3 linked regions of the Cricetulus griseus genome follow. The protein of the gene in region 2 interacts with the protein of the main gene of each other region in a pairwise test. Links are inferred from orthologs where the notes say so. Each region holds a gene or a part of one and is shown on either strand. Other genes may lie near its edges.

Region 1 (4,753 bases), on a different chromosome or scaffold from region 2:
CAGAATCGGACAAATCATTATCCAAACCTTGCCCATTGTGATGCACACCTTGAATCCCAGCACCCAGGAAGGAGGGAGAGGCAGGTGGATCTCTGTGAATTCGGGTCCAGCCTGGTCTACTGAGTTCCAGGCCAATCAGGGCTACACGGTGAAATGCTGTCTGAACCCCAACCCCCCAAACAAACAGAATCAAAATCTCTTGCCCCAGCTGCTATTTCAGTAGGCATGTAATTTGATCAGACCAGTAGGTTCTGGCCATGGATTCTGGTGGATCTATAGTGGAAAAGTCTTTTTTCTACCCCGAGTTGGCTAAACTGGACTGGGGTTGCCAGGTGCTTTTTTGCTGTCATGTAGGAAGATCCACTGAATACACCAAGAGAAAGCCTGAAGGAGGCCCCATCTGAACTTGTTTATTAGAGACAGTCATTTCCTGACTGTTGCATCTCTGTTGGAATGGTATGTTCCTCACAACTGAGAAAGTCCTGGCAGGTACATTTCTGTCCCATTCTCACCGCAGGGCCTGCACCAGATTAAGGTCGGTGAACTCATGCAAATCCACAAAAGCATGGAGCACAGATAGGTTTAGCTCTTCCCTGGAGGAGGGAAGAGAGAGAGTCCCATCAGGAGGAGTGACAGGAGCCATAGCAGTATCATCTCATTTACTATGCCACCCTCCTGCAGATGAACCTTGTTCTTGTAGCTTGTCAGATCTTTGAGTACACAGACCACCTGATGTCATCTTGCAACTGCTCTCACGCTTCCCAGATGCCTTTATCTCAGAACTGACCTTTGTCTAAGAATTCATAGCTAGTTCCCAGTTGCTATGCAATCACATGTCCACAGGTCTCCAAACACTTGCAGCTCTGACCCATGATAAAAACTTCCAGACAATACTTTCCATATGCTAGCTTGTATATGCGTGGTTAAGCCAGTGACACTCAGACTTCAACAGTGTCCTTGTTTACTGGATGACTACAGGTCCATCTCCCTCTAGTTTCAAGCTCCCTCAGAGCCAGTCAGTCCACTATATCATGACCCAGGTGGAGGCCACAAACCTGCTCTACCCATGAACTCCTATTGAGGCTGGGAGTACTACTGTACAGGCTGGGCAGCTCACCTTTCCCCGAGGTAATCCCCAATGGCTGTCTTGTTCAGCCCCTCACCCTTGTACAGGAAGCGGGCAATTTCCTCAGGTGTGTTCTGCAGAAGTTCGTGTTCTACCAAGAATTGGATCCCCTGGATGGAGGATGCCAGATTTATGCCAAGGCAGAGGCTGCTGCTCCCCATCCAAGCCTCTCCACCCTAACAGAGCATGGTCATCCCTAGCCCATCCTCTCAACCTCTGCCTAACTGATTCCGGCATGTATAGCTGGAACAGGTTTGAAGAATAATTGAATACATGATACACTGTATAAAAAAAGAAGCAGATACCTACCCATCAAGCTGTAAACACAGCACCCCTCCCTTACTGCCATATCTCACCTTGAACTGTAGCACTTACACCTAGGGGGATCCCTCAGAGTAAGGCAGGGTCTTAGCATTCCCAGCATTGCCCAGCACAGGACCGGGCTCCCAGAGGCCTCAGTACATGAACATTCATGGAACAGATGGACAGGGATCAGGAGTCTTGCCTAGAGGAAACCTATTATCTTAACACTTCTAGAACCTAGGATATCAAAACCATGCCTGAATATATCTGCTCAGCTAACTAACCTTCTTGGGGTCCATGTTGAACTTCTTCCTGCCCATTGCCATCTTCCGGTTCCGCTGCAAGGTCTTACTGCAAAAGCAGGATGGGCAGCAGCCAAAGGTCAACACTTGAGCATCCAGGGCCCTGGCCAAGCCCTGTGTCCCACGAGCTCGCCACAGTCCTCACCTGCCCTCATTGGCCTCCAGACCCTCCACCTCACTCATAGCTTCACTCAGCTCCTCTCGCAGGCGCTGGATCTCCACCAGCAGCTCCTGCTTACGCCGTCGGATGTTCTCTAGCTCCATGCGCTCCTCCGGAGTCAAGTCTGGGGGCTCTAGGAGTCAGGGTCAGGAAATGAGTTCTGGGGGGGCCAAGATTAAGGCTAAGAGCCTGGATTCCTGTCCAGAAGAGAAATGGCTACTACAACTCTTAGGGAAGAGGGAGTAAGACTCTGAACCCTTAGTCTGGGGCAGAAGTGCCTGGGAATCTCATCTCTTAATAGGTCTGGGGATGAACTTCTGGGCCCATTACTTGGAAAGATGGAGCCCTGCCTTCATCATGAAAGTGTGGACCTAAATCTTGGGTGTATTACTTGGAAAGGAACCAGTCCCTGGGCTCCTGGACCCATCACCACAATGAGGAACTCTTGGGATGTTACTTTAGATGTTTTACTTGGATGCCCTGGTTCCTTGGTTCCATCACAGTAGAACGGGAGGCTTGGATATTGAAAACATTACTTGGAAGGACACAGGGCCTTGGGCTCATGGCTCCATCATCGCAAGGGATCTGGGGCCCCAGATCCTGGGTGTATTTCTTGGAAGGTAACAGGTCCCTCCATCATGGCTGATGACCTGGGATCCTGGACCTTGGGTGCATTTCTTGGAAAAACACCAATACTCTGGTTCCTGGGTCCACCACGGTGGGGACCCTGGCATGGAGCTTGGATACATTTCTTGTAAGGAGGCCTGATCCCTGGCTCCACAATAGTGGGAGAGTTGGGGTCCTGAATCCTGGGTGCCTTTCTTGGAAAGGAACCGAGGTTCTGGCTCCTGGATCTGTGGTCTGAATCTTGGGTGCTCAGTGAAGACAAGCCATGGCATCACGACCGGGGTCAGGATCGGTAGGGAGGTCACAGAACCAAGGTTCGCAGCAAGAAAGGCAGCGGCTCGCGCGGGTGTACGTCCCGCCCCGCCCCGCCCCGCTCTTGTCGCTCCGCCCCGCCCCCCCGCCCCGCCCCGCCCGCCGCCGCCGGAAGAGGGCTCGGCCCAAACAATGGCCGGGACCCCCGGCTCTCGGTCGCGCCGGAAGCCCGTTCCGCGCGCACAAGAGCGCCTCGCTACCACCGCTCGGCTGTCCTTGGCGGGGCTTGGGAGCCACTCCGCCCTCCCGCCTCGCCTGGCCTACCGTAGACACCGTCCTCCATGGCGGCTAGAAAAGCCCGCGGGGAGTCCGGGGCGGTTCCGCCGGCTGGGCCTGAGTCCGCGTCGGCCCGCGGGCTCGAGTGAGCCCGCTCAAACGCCCCAGGAGCCACCGCCGCCTCCTCAGCGCCAGTCCTCAGCGCCGAAAAGACTCTCCCTTCACGGCCCAACCGCCCGGCCGCTGGGGCCCGCCCCTCGCTTTGACACCACCCAATCGGCTGCGGGTCTCCCAGACTGCTCCGCCCCCGAAACCACAGGATCATTTCCAGGACCAATAGACACACAAGAAGCGGTTGCAGGCACGTACAGCTAGCGATAGACTGTTAGAGTGACCAATCGAAGTGCGTCCAGGGGCTTGGTCCCGCCCCCGAAACAAAGGAAAATCCCTGGCAGCTTTATCCTCCAATAAGAAAACTCAAAAAGGAGGGAGCAGGAGGTGGGGATTCGTGGAGCAGGGAGGATTGCGCCTGCGCACGAGCCAGACTAAGACGGCCTAACCTTTTCAGAAATTCGTTGTTAGGGGGTGGTATTTGATTAGTCTTGTTGTCAAGGGCGGAGTCTCAACCTTGAGGTGTTTCCTGGGACCACACCTCCTGGCCCTCCACGCTAGCTTTTGACCGCGGCGGTTGCCAAGCAACTGGGAGCCGCACAGTCCTGTCTTTGCCTTCTTCCTCAGGGTACTTCTGTCTCAGGCAGTGGCTGTCTCTGAACTCTTTCCGTACCACCTCACGTGACTTTCCTCCACACCTCAGTCTCCTCAGTCAAAGGATGGTAAAATAAAGGCATTATCCCTTCCAAATGTATTGGGGACCACAAATACCCTGGATCTACCCTCCTGGTGCTTTCTCTCTTTCAGGCTCTTCCTCTCTCCTAAACGCTCGTCTTAGCTTCCTCCTCCTAAAATCCCGCCTTCCCCAGATATTTGCCCAAGACATCCTCTTCCCTCAGAATCTTTTTTTTTTTTTTTTTTTTTTTTTTTTTTTTTTTTTTTTTGGTTTTTCGAGACAGGGCTTCTCTTGGCTTTGGAGCCTGTCACAGGCACTCGCTCTTGTAGACCAGGCTGGTCTCGAACTCACAGAGATCTGTCTGCCTCTGCCTCCAGAATGTGCACTGACTCTCTTGGCAGCACTCCAGGTCTCTGTGGTTAGGTCCTCCTTCCACCCAGCTTTTCAGTCCTCAAAGTCCTGCCCTTCTTAATCGCCTCCCCCTCCCAGAATCCTTTCTGTTTTGCAGGAAAAGCAGTGAGGGTCCTGTCTGTGATGGGGACTCTGGCATATTTGTAAATCATAGGCCCATAATGGGGCTGATGTGACTTCCAGGTCTTGTCCTCATTTGTGTCCCTGGGCTGCACAGGTCGGGAGGATTCAGAGCCAGGACTTGGTTAAGTCTTTGGATTAGTCATGGAGCCTCCTAATCCCCTCTCTGACCTTTATGAGTGGCCTGACCCATGCCCTCCCTTGCTGGAGACCTGGTTGTGCCAATCCTATCCCACCCTCTACTTCCCAATAGAACCACATGCCCCTGCCTCTTTACATCAGCTTAGCAATTTTCTCCACTATGGTCTCCATCATCCCTAGTCCTTCCCTGCCCTAGACCCAGGGGTGGGAGAGCTGCCAGCTAATTAATCCTGTCCGGTTATTACCTG
Region 2 (4,575 bases):
CACTGATTGCTGGGTACCAACAACAGACAAGCAAATAGGAGAGGATGGCAAAGTCCTTAGGCAATATTGACAGCAACAGGGATGAGCCACAGTCTAATAGGATAGCTTGTACATTCACAGCAGAAATTGTCACTTCTAGAGATGGTCTCTCAGTCTCCTTCCAGAAACAGGGTATCACGATGACATCATTTATCTGGTCCCCAGGGAGATTCAAGGTGGCATGTCATAATCAGTATGAACTTAGGACTCAAAGGGGCCTGGACATGAAGAACTTTTTGTTCACTTCCTTCATGTATGACTTCAGCAGTTTACCAACTTTTAAAGCATGCCTCAGAGGTCTCAGGCTCTCTGTCTCTGTCTCTGTCTCTGTCTCTGTCTCTGTCTCCTTCCATAGATTGAACCCTGAACATCATGCATGCTAGGCAAGCATGCTACCAGCCAGCTATATCCTCAGACTTTTTATATTCCTTTTTTCATTTTGAGACAGTGATTCGCTAAATTAACAGGACTGTGGTTGAACTTATTCTATAGCCCAGGTTGGCTTTGAACCTGCAATCACCCTGCCTCAGCCTCTTGAGTGGCTAAGACTATAAGCCTATGCCAACATAACCAGCTAGAGGTTTTTCTTGAAGAATAGGAAAGAGCCTGTGTGCAGAGTACCTAGAACATTCCTTGGCATATGGCAGATGTTCCATGGGCTAAGTCTAGCCCATGCTATACCCAAAATCACAGAGAACAGGGATGGCCCTCCAAGAAGAATAAGGAATGGAGAAGGAGAAGAAATTAGTCAACTCTTACGTGCCTTAGCTAATTAAATCTAAATCCTTCTAGTGGAGACAGTAAGTGCATATTTTTCTGTGAGGGCGTGTTTGACTGTTACTTTGCAGTTGGTATTAACACAGATAGCAGGAATATGACTGCTAATTACATCTTCATTGAGGTCTACCCACAACAAATATACAATTAAGATGTCAGGAATGAGGCTGGGAAAGAGAAAGCAAAAGAACATGAGAAGTCCTCTATGAAAGATCCTTCCTTTGGTACACCATTAATAACCCTCTACTTCCCTGGCCAACTAAGTTTATTCTCAAACTGATGCTGTTAATGTAATGGTGCTGAAATACATGATCCGCATCCTTAAGCTTACTTTCCGCATCTGATAAAAGGACACAGGGATGGGGAGCTTACAGGCATCTAAGACTCCATCTTTTCCTCTTTTTAGTCCAAGCCAACGTGGCTGCTCCATGCAGAAGAGTGAGATTCCCGATGCCAAAAATTAGGAAGCTCCTATGCCTAAAAGTAGCTGGAGAAGCCAAATGAGCCAAGTGGTGGCAATTGTGTGACTCCAGGAAGGACTTCTTTCACATTCTACCAAGACAGGGACAATGATGAGATGAACTGACCACTTAATCCTGAGCCTGTTACATCCTGTAGATACATCATGTTCCAACAACACAGTCTATCCCAGAGGCTCAAGAAAGTCCTCAAGGCTGTTTATAGGGTAACTCAGATCAGCTCATCATAAGAAAGATGTAGGTGGCAATTTCTTGTGATAACTACTAAAATGCCATAGCCTAAATACTAGGAAACAGAGTCTGGAGAGATGACTCAGGAGGTGAAAGCACTTGTTGCCATAGGTGACAACTTGAGTTAGAACCCAGGGACCCACACGATGGGGAAAAAAAAGAGACAAATCCCTCTTGTAAGTTGTCCTCGGACTTCCACCCATAACTGGTGATACCTGTACACACACACACACACACACACACACACACACACACACACACACACACTCACACACACACTGAATGAATAAGTATAATTCAGTAATTTAAAATAAAATAACAGAAAACACTAAGTACTTATATCAACCTTAATTCCCCTTAAGAAGGAAGCTGTGTTTGTTTGAAAGACTACCTAGTCCCAGGTTGGCTTAATTTAGCACTATTCCCTTAAGTAATTAAACAAACCTTCTCTATCAGATTTCCTTCCCTCGAAAAGGGACCCTAAACCTGCAGTGGAGTCAGTGACAGAACATCTACCTACAAAGCTCTACAGAGTACTTTCAACAACACCAATGTCCCTCTCAAAATATCTCCAGCCACAAAGACAATGCAAGAACTTTATTTCCAGCTCTTTTTCAATAGTCAATCCATGAAGCTGACCACAGTACCACATGGCTATCAAAGGACAAACTCAGCAACTATCTCCGTGAGTGAGAATTGTCCTCACAATGCATATCTAATGTCAACGTGGAACAATGTCACCAGTCTCTACGCAAGACTGGCATAGGGATTAGCAATCCCAAACCAGCCCATACCTGCAAAGATCAGGAGGAAAGAAGACGGTGGGAGAAGAGATGGATATTGTGTCTCTGAACTGATAGATTTGTTCCCTTAGAAGAGAGTAATGCTGAGTCCCTTTTTAATAGGATCTTAGCAAGGTAAAATTCGCACAGCAAATGATATCCTGACAGATCGTGGTACTATGAGGATCTCACGGAACAATAACATCAGTAGAACCCCAGCAGCTCCCTCCTTAAGCAAGGATGTAATTGGAGCCCCTTTTCCTTCCTCTCTAATCAGAATAGTAAAGCCAGATGGTCTCTCCTCGGAGCAGCACAGCTCACTAACCTACATAGTTCCTGGAGCAGAAATGAGTCCTCTATCAAATCTGCTGATTTGCTCTGCTCCAACTCCCAGAGATCAGGATCAACTTCCCCACAGAGATTGCCTGCTCTGAGCTCTAGAAGCCACTCTTGGGTAAAGGCTGGGGCAGGAGGAGGAGGGACCACTCACCATTTGATTGCTGTACCAGTACAGCGATGACCCCTTCAGCACCACCCAGAACTTTTTCCATTTGTTGCTTAGGAAAGTTCCCTTTTCCTTTTTCTTGTACAGCCAACCCTGGCAGTCAGCGTGGCCCAGATCTTTACATGATATCCTCCTCCGACTCATGCTGAAAAAACCTGCAATGGTTATACGAACAGGTTAAGTGTGACCCAACTCGGGTGGCAAAATAAAAGGCAACTTTTAGTTGTTTGCACAGCAAAGGTTGGATGTTTTCAGTCATGCAAAGTAACTGTTAAAAGGAAAAGAAAAAGGAAGAAAGGGGAGAGAGAGAGAGAGAGAGAGAGAGAGAGAGAGAGAGAGAGAGGAAGGGAGAGAGAGAGGAAGGGAGAGAGAGGGGGAGGGAGGAAGGGAGAAAGAAAGAAAGAAAGAAAGAAAGAAAGAAAGAAAGAAAGAAAGAAAGAAAGAAAGAAAGAAAGGAATTCTATGTATCTGTTCTATTTTTAAACATTCATTCGGTGCCTAGAAAACCCAGGCAAAGAGGCAGTGAGACTTATATGCAAGCATAGATCTGAAAACCTTAGTCAAAGAGTAAGTTGAACACGTTCAACTCTCGGGACTAGCAGACACATTGAAGCAGACACACGGATCCTGCCCACAGGAACAGCGGCAGTTATGCAACAGACACCGAAGGGTTAAAGCCCACCTAGGACCCCAGGGACTTCCTAACTCAGCGGCAGCTTCTCCATGCTCTGTGGACAAAGCAGAGGGACTAGTCCAAGTGAACAGCATGTCATTCTTTCTTAAAATCAGTCCAAAAGCAATCCCCCAAAATTAATCTGACATCCATCTCCTGATATTAAATTCAGACAGACAAGAATCCGATCCCCTCTTCAAGAAGGCATCAAGGAGAAAGGAAGAAAAGAAATCACACTCACAGGCACAAGAAAGGGATAAAGGAACAAAAGGGATCTAATTACCTTGAGTTTTCTTCCTCGGCTTCTGACGCAAGGGAACCTGCTGGAAATGCAGGAAGGAAAGAAAAGAGGCAATTTCTGATTGTGTTGTAACATTTGTAAAGGAGAAGGAGGGAGGGGGCGGCAGTGTTTATGAGCAGGGTGGATTCTAAAAAAAAAGAAAGAAAGAAAGACTCTCCAAGCAGAGCTCAAGGGGAGCTACGAGCTGAGGCACAAAATGTGCTAATTAGAATCGATATACATCGAGCTGAACCTGGAAAAAGGTAACAGGGCATTTATCTGTAGGGCTTCCTGTTTCCTCCCACAAGCAACTCTCGCTACTACTTGGGTTATTGAGGGCACAGTGCTTGATGAAGTTTTAGAAAATCATGAAATACTTTACCTACACATTTTTGTAAGAGAAGAAACAACATCTCTTTTCTCTCTTGATTTCTAAACAATATTGAGTATTTAAATAAACCCCGAGAATAATTGTTTCCATCTCAAGCTGTTAAATGTTCACAACAGACTAACTTTGTGGTCTTCCTAATATGCAGGGCATTAACCACCTAAACCACAGGCATTAAATACCCTTGGGAAAGAAATTCCTTATCCTTCTTGTATGACCTCAGGGACTCTAAAGCCTCCTGATTGGGAATTTCTTATTCTCAGCCAAATTTACATATCTTTTTCTATCTTTATCTCTGAATATTTCTCACATGCTTTATAGATGATAAATATTCAAATATTCAAATCAGACATGACAATTTATATAAAATATACATTTTCCACAACACATTATCATCAAGTCATGTAAAACCAGATTCCAA
Region 3 (4,605 bases), on a different chromosome or scaffold from region 2:
GAGAAGCACCAAGGTCTTCATTCACAGCACCTTGGGTCTTCCTTCTAACACCTACCAAGCAGCTTGTCCCAAACCAGGACACAGGTCACCAGGATGCTGCTGCCAGCCAAGTTAAGATCAAGGTGAACTGAAAACTTAGTGTTCTACCCAAGAGGCCCCATATACAACTCTATTTGGCGTGTTTTCCTATAAGTAATACTACTTTATACCCTTTAGTACCTCATAGCTTCAGACGCTTTTGAGTCCTTTTAGCTCAGGTCTGAACTGTTCCCTGAGTTGAACTGCTCCTGCCAGTTCCTCAATGAGGCACAGATCCTACACCGACAGCCTGCTTCACACTCCTGATCCTCAACTGGTCCTTAGCAATTGATTCTCCTACTGAAACCTACAGATTCGTTTAGCATTTGCTGAGCATCTGCCATAGGCGCAGCCTGTGCTTGGAACTGGGACTTAAATAGCTCCAGACCCAGCCTTGCCAGTGGGGAGAGGCGGGCAAGGCTGTGGCAGCAGCAACCTGGCGCGGTGTCTGTGCATGCCAGGGACATGCCGAGATGCTGCGGAAGGGCCAGCTGGACCCAGGACTTAATGATCAGCCATTCCAAAACAGAGACGCTGTGGGGATGGCGAATCCCGAGTGATATACGAAAGCTCAAGGATGGTGGGCACACTACGAGTCAGGGCCAGAGAGCCCAGGAGGAGCCTTAGCGCCTGCTGTGGAAGGCCAGGGATACACATTGAGGAGTCTCAATTCCATCCTAAAGAGAGGGTTCAGTGGAAAACCAAGGGGGACTACACATAAGCAGATGAGCTCAAATAGCTAATCTACCAGACGCAACCCTGCAGCAGTTAAGGAAACAGGCCCAGTTGATGATATTGGTGACTCTTCATTAGGCAAATAACACACGATGCTGGAGAAGAGCCGGTTATTTCCATGCAGAGAAGAAAGGAGAGGGGATCCAGCAGTCAGAGCACTGGCTGCTCTTCCAGAGGACCCAGGTCTGACCCCCAGCACCCACAGTGGCTCAGTCTTTTATATCTCCAGTTCCAGGGGATCCTATGCCCTCTTCTGACTCTAGGACATCAGGTACACATGTGCTACACACATGCAGGCAAAACGTTCATGCACATAAGTAAGTAAAAAATAAATAAATCCATGTAATCTTTTTAAAAGAAGGATGTGAAGGCTGCACAGCTGGTGTGCACAGCGGAAGGGCCTGCCTTCGGAGCGTCTGGCCAGAGCCCTCACCACTGAGCAGGCAGGCACTCAGGACAGCAAGTCTGGGGGAGATAGCTCCTTGAGAAGCGCCCTCTCTCCTCCTTGGGGACCTTAGGGACTTGCCACAGGAAACCCCACGTGTTCTCTTCCCTTTTACACCCACCTAAATGCCGTCCTGTTTCTGTGGCTACAGCTCGGGAATCTACTTTAGCAGTGGTTAAAAGGGCAACACTCTTCCCTTTTGTACCAAATAGGAGACTTCAGGAGGGGTGGGAGACGGGGCACTGGCTTTTCAGGGTTGTTCACTATAATTAGAGCTGATCCAATCCCTCAAGCTCTGCCCTAGGCCTGCCCCAGGCCCATCACCCCAGCCTGGATTTAGGCCTGTACCCACACTCAGGGCATCTGAAGACACTTTAAAGCCTACAGGGCAATGGGGAACCCAAACACATATGAGTCCTCTGGCTAAAGTCACTATTCCACACTTGCTAGCCCAGTGTGGAGCTGGGGGCAGCTACTGACAGCCAGAAGCCTTGAAGATGTGACATGGATCACTGCTGACCTCCTTAGGCAGTCTCACTCTGATTATTCTACCATTTTATTCTGTGCCCTCCTCTTCTCTCAGAACTCTTTCCCTTGGAGCTGGATACCAGGGCTAATGTGTATTCATCACTCCAAAAAATACCAAAAAAAAAAAAAAAAAAAAACAACAACAACAACAACAACAAAAAAACCGCTCCCAGTGGGCAGCATACCCTGGCCTGGCCTCGGCCCCAATTACCACGCCCCTCTTTGGAAGCAAAGGTACTGCAATAAAGATAGCATGTCCCTCTCACTCAGAAGTTGTACCCACAATAGAGTTTTCCACACAGGCAGCCTCATGGAAACTGCCGGGGGAGAGCTCTCTTTAGAGGTGAGACTTCAAGTGTGTGTTCAGTACGCCAGGAGAGGGAAGTGAAAGACACAGTCAGTTTCCCTGGAATCGTTCTTGAAGCGGCCTCATCTCCAAGTCTGGTTTACTGTAATACCCACACTAGCTGCGGCTGGTCACACTTGCCCTCTTTTGCCTCAGGGCTGAAGCACTGTAGTTGAGCCAAGGAGGGTACAGCAGGGAGACTGCCCAGAGTCTCAGCTCCTGACTCACAGCTCCGCTGTTTACAGCTGGATTGGGGGACAGTGAGGGAAGCACCATGAGACTTCAAACCGTCTTCACCCCACAGAGAAAGAGGAAGCCTCTCCTTCCTTTAGGAAAAGCAAGAACCATTGATGCCGATTTTAATGGCATAACCCAGTGATGTCTTTACTTCTCAGCCCAGCTTCACTGTGGCACACAGTTCCCACATCTGTGGCCCAACTGCTCCTAGGAGCCAGTAAATGGCCAGCAAGCAGGAGACTAAGTGCCTCCCAGAACATTACTGTCTTGCACAAAGCAAAGGCGGTAGAAGCCGGGATGACTCTTGCCACATCATTTAGAATCTCGTATTTATTCACTCTGTCTGCCTCTCTCCCCTGACTGAGACACACACACACACACACACACACACACACACACACACACACACACACACACACACCCCTTAGTCTTACTCAGCACACTGCAGATCTTCTGAAAGGAACAGGGTAAAAACCAAACTCTGACCAAACCCAGCTACAAAGGTCCCGTAAAGCCTTCCTTACAGGGGCTCATAGATGAGTCCAAAGAGACCCTCAGACAACCACCTACCTACCTGGGACCCTCTGGGGCTGTCTGGGCTGGGACTCACCATCCTCCCTGGGTCTAGTCTGGGCTGGGACTCACCATCCTCCCTGGGTCTAGTCTGGGCTGGGACCCACCATCCTCCCTGGGTCTAGTCTGGGCTGGGACTCACCATCCTCCCTGGGTCTAGTCTGGGCTGAGACTCACCGTCCTCCCCTTCTCCTTTAAGAACCATTGTTGGGCTTCTCAGGGCAGGACAGGTGGGCTCTGCTGCTAACTCACTCAGCAAAGTATTCTGAGCAGTTTCCTGGACTGTGGGTTGGGTGAGGCTAGGAACTCCTACAGGGAGCCACTAGAACAGCTCAGGGCTGCTTTTGGACTACCAGAGGAACAGCTAGTGGCACAGGGGACCAATTAGCCTGCACCCTCTGCAGACGTCACTGCAGTCTCTGTCACCACCCAGTTCTGAAGTAAAGCTCAAGCTCCTTCAGCATGTTAAACAGCACTGAGTCATCACACCAGCTCAGCAGAGGGCCCACCCCACCCTCACTCACCCAAGCAAGGACACAGCAGCTGCTACTCTCTGCTTCACCAGGAATCACCCCAAACCCGTCATCTCCCAGTGAGAAAGTAGCTCACTGACATCCATAAGACAGCCACAAAAGATGGCAATCACCACAGCATGCTATCATGTCCCAGCTAAAAGCAGGGGCATGGCCCAGGGTTGGGAAAATCAAGGGCCACACTCCTCAAAGTGTAAGGTCATTCCAACCCCACTCTGATTTCTGCAATTGCACGTTTACGGGATTCAGACGGATCATTCCATACACACAATGTTTGGCATCTCTTTGTCCTTAAATGTCATCTCTTGTATTGAGGACTTCCCACTCATATTATGAATGTGGGGCTGGCAAGATGGCCCGATGGGTAAAGAACTTGACACATCACACAGCCTGAAGATCAAGGTGGACCCCAAAATGCATATAAAGGTGGGAGGGGACAACCAACTCCCACAAGTAGTCTTCTGACCTCCACATTCTCACGATGCATGCATAGTCCCCCACCCCAGCACAATAAATAAATGCAAATCATAGTAATGCTATATCAGGAAGCTGGGTGTGGTGGCGCACACCTTTAGTCCTAGCATTAAGGAGGCAGAAGCAGGCAGATACCTGAGTTAGAGGCCAGCCTTCTACAGAGCAAGTTCCAGGACAGTTAGGGCTACACAGAGAAACCCTGTCTCAAAAACCAAAGTAAGCCGGGCATTGGTGGTGCTGGTTTAATCCCAGCACTCGGGAGGCAGAGGTAGGCAGATCTCTGTGAGTTCAAGGCCAGCCTGGTCTACAGAGCGAGTGCCAGGACAGCCAGGGCAGTTACACATTGAAACCCTATCTTAAGAAACTTAACAAAGGGGGAGGGGCATATTTCTATCTCCTGCTTTGTTTTCCTGTTATTTTTCCATCTGTCTGTTTCAGACAGCCTCATTTGGCCCCAATAAGTTGGGGCCTCAAACTCCCTACCTAGCTGACAGTGACCTCAACTTTGACCTGCCTGCTCTGCCTCCCAAGTGCTAAGGAGCAGGCATGCACCGCCATGCCCGGACGCTTGGCTTCTTTTTTTAATTAGACTGTTTCTCCTACTTGGTTCCTATTCTACACAGTTTACAAATATTTTTTTCTCAAAAGCTTTTAGT

Evidence for each region. The genes of interacting proteins can lie anywhere in the genome.
Region 1: the proteins of Ipcef1 (region 2) and Cyth2 interact in binary tests that used the Homo sapiens proteins (3 or more experiments, as listed by UniProt). The link is inferred for Cricetulus griseus from reciprocal best matches to the Homo sapiens genes IPCEF1 and CYTH2.
Region 3: the proteins of Ipcef1 (region 2) and Cyth1 interact in binary tests that used the Homo sapiens proteins (3 or more experiments, as listed by UniProt). The link is inferred for Cricetulus griseus from reciprocal best matches to the Homo sapiens genes IPCEF1 and CYTH1.

What each region holds. Positions count from the first base shown.
Region 1 is NC_048599.1:154,707,626-154,712,378, forward strand, and holds the start of Cyth2 (cytohesin-2), read right to left. Parts: upstream 3,305-4,753; 5' UTR 3,114-3,304; coding exon 3,095-3,113; intron 2,876-3,094; exon of another isoform or gene 2,025-2,875; coding exon 1,877-2,024; intron 1,781-1,876; coding exon 1,714-1,780; intron 1,237-1,713; coding exon 1,118-1,236; intron 594-1,117; coding exon 513-593; intron 1-512. UniProt on the Homo sapiens protein: Acts as a guanine-nucleotide exchange factor (GEF). Promotes guanine-nucleotide exchange on ARF1, ARF3 and ARF6. Activates ARF factors through replacement of GDP with GTP.
Region 2 is NC_048595.1:284,097,807-284,102,381, forward strand, and holds the start of Ipcef1 (interactor protein for cytohesin exchange factors 1), read right to left. Parts: upstream 2,958-4,575; coding exon 2,799-2,957; intron 1-2,798. UniProt on the Homo sapiens protein: Enhances the promotion of guanine-nucleotide exchange by PSCD2 on ARF6 in a concentration-dependent manner.
Region 3 is NC_048600.1:130,772,573-130,777,177, forward strand, and holds the start of Cyth1 (cytohesin-1), read right to left. Parts: upstream 3,305-4,605; 5' UTR 3,148-3,304; coding exon 3,120-3,147; intron 1-3,119. UniProt on the Homo sapiens protein: Promotes guanine-nucleotide exchange on ARF1, ARF5 and ARF6. Promotes the activation of ARF factors through replacement of GDP with GTP.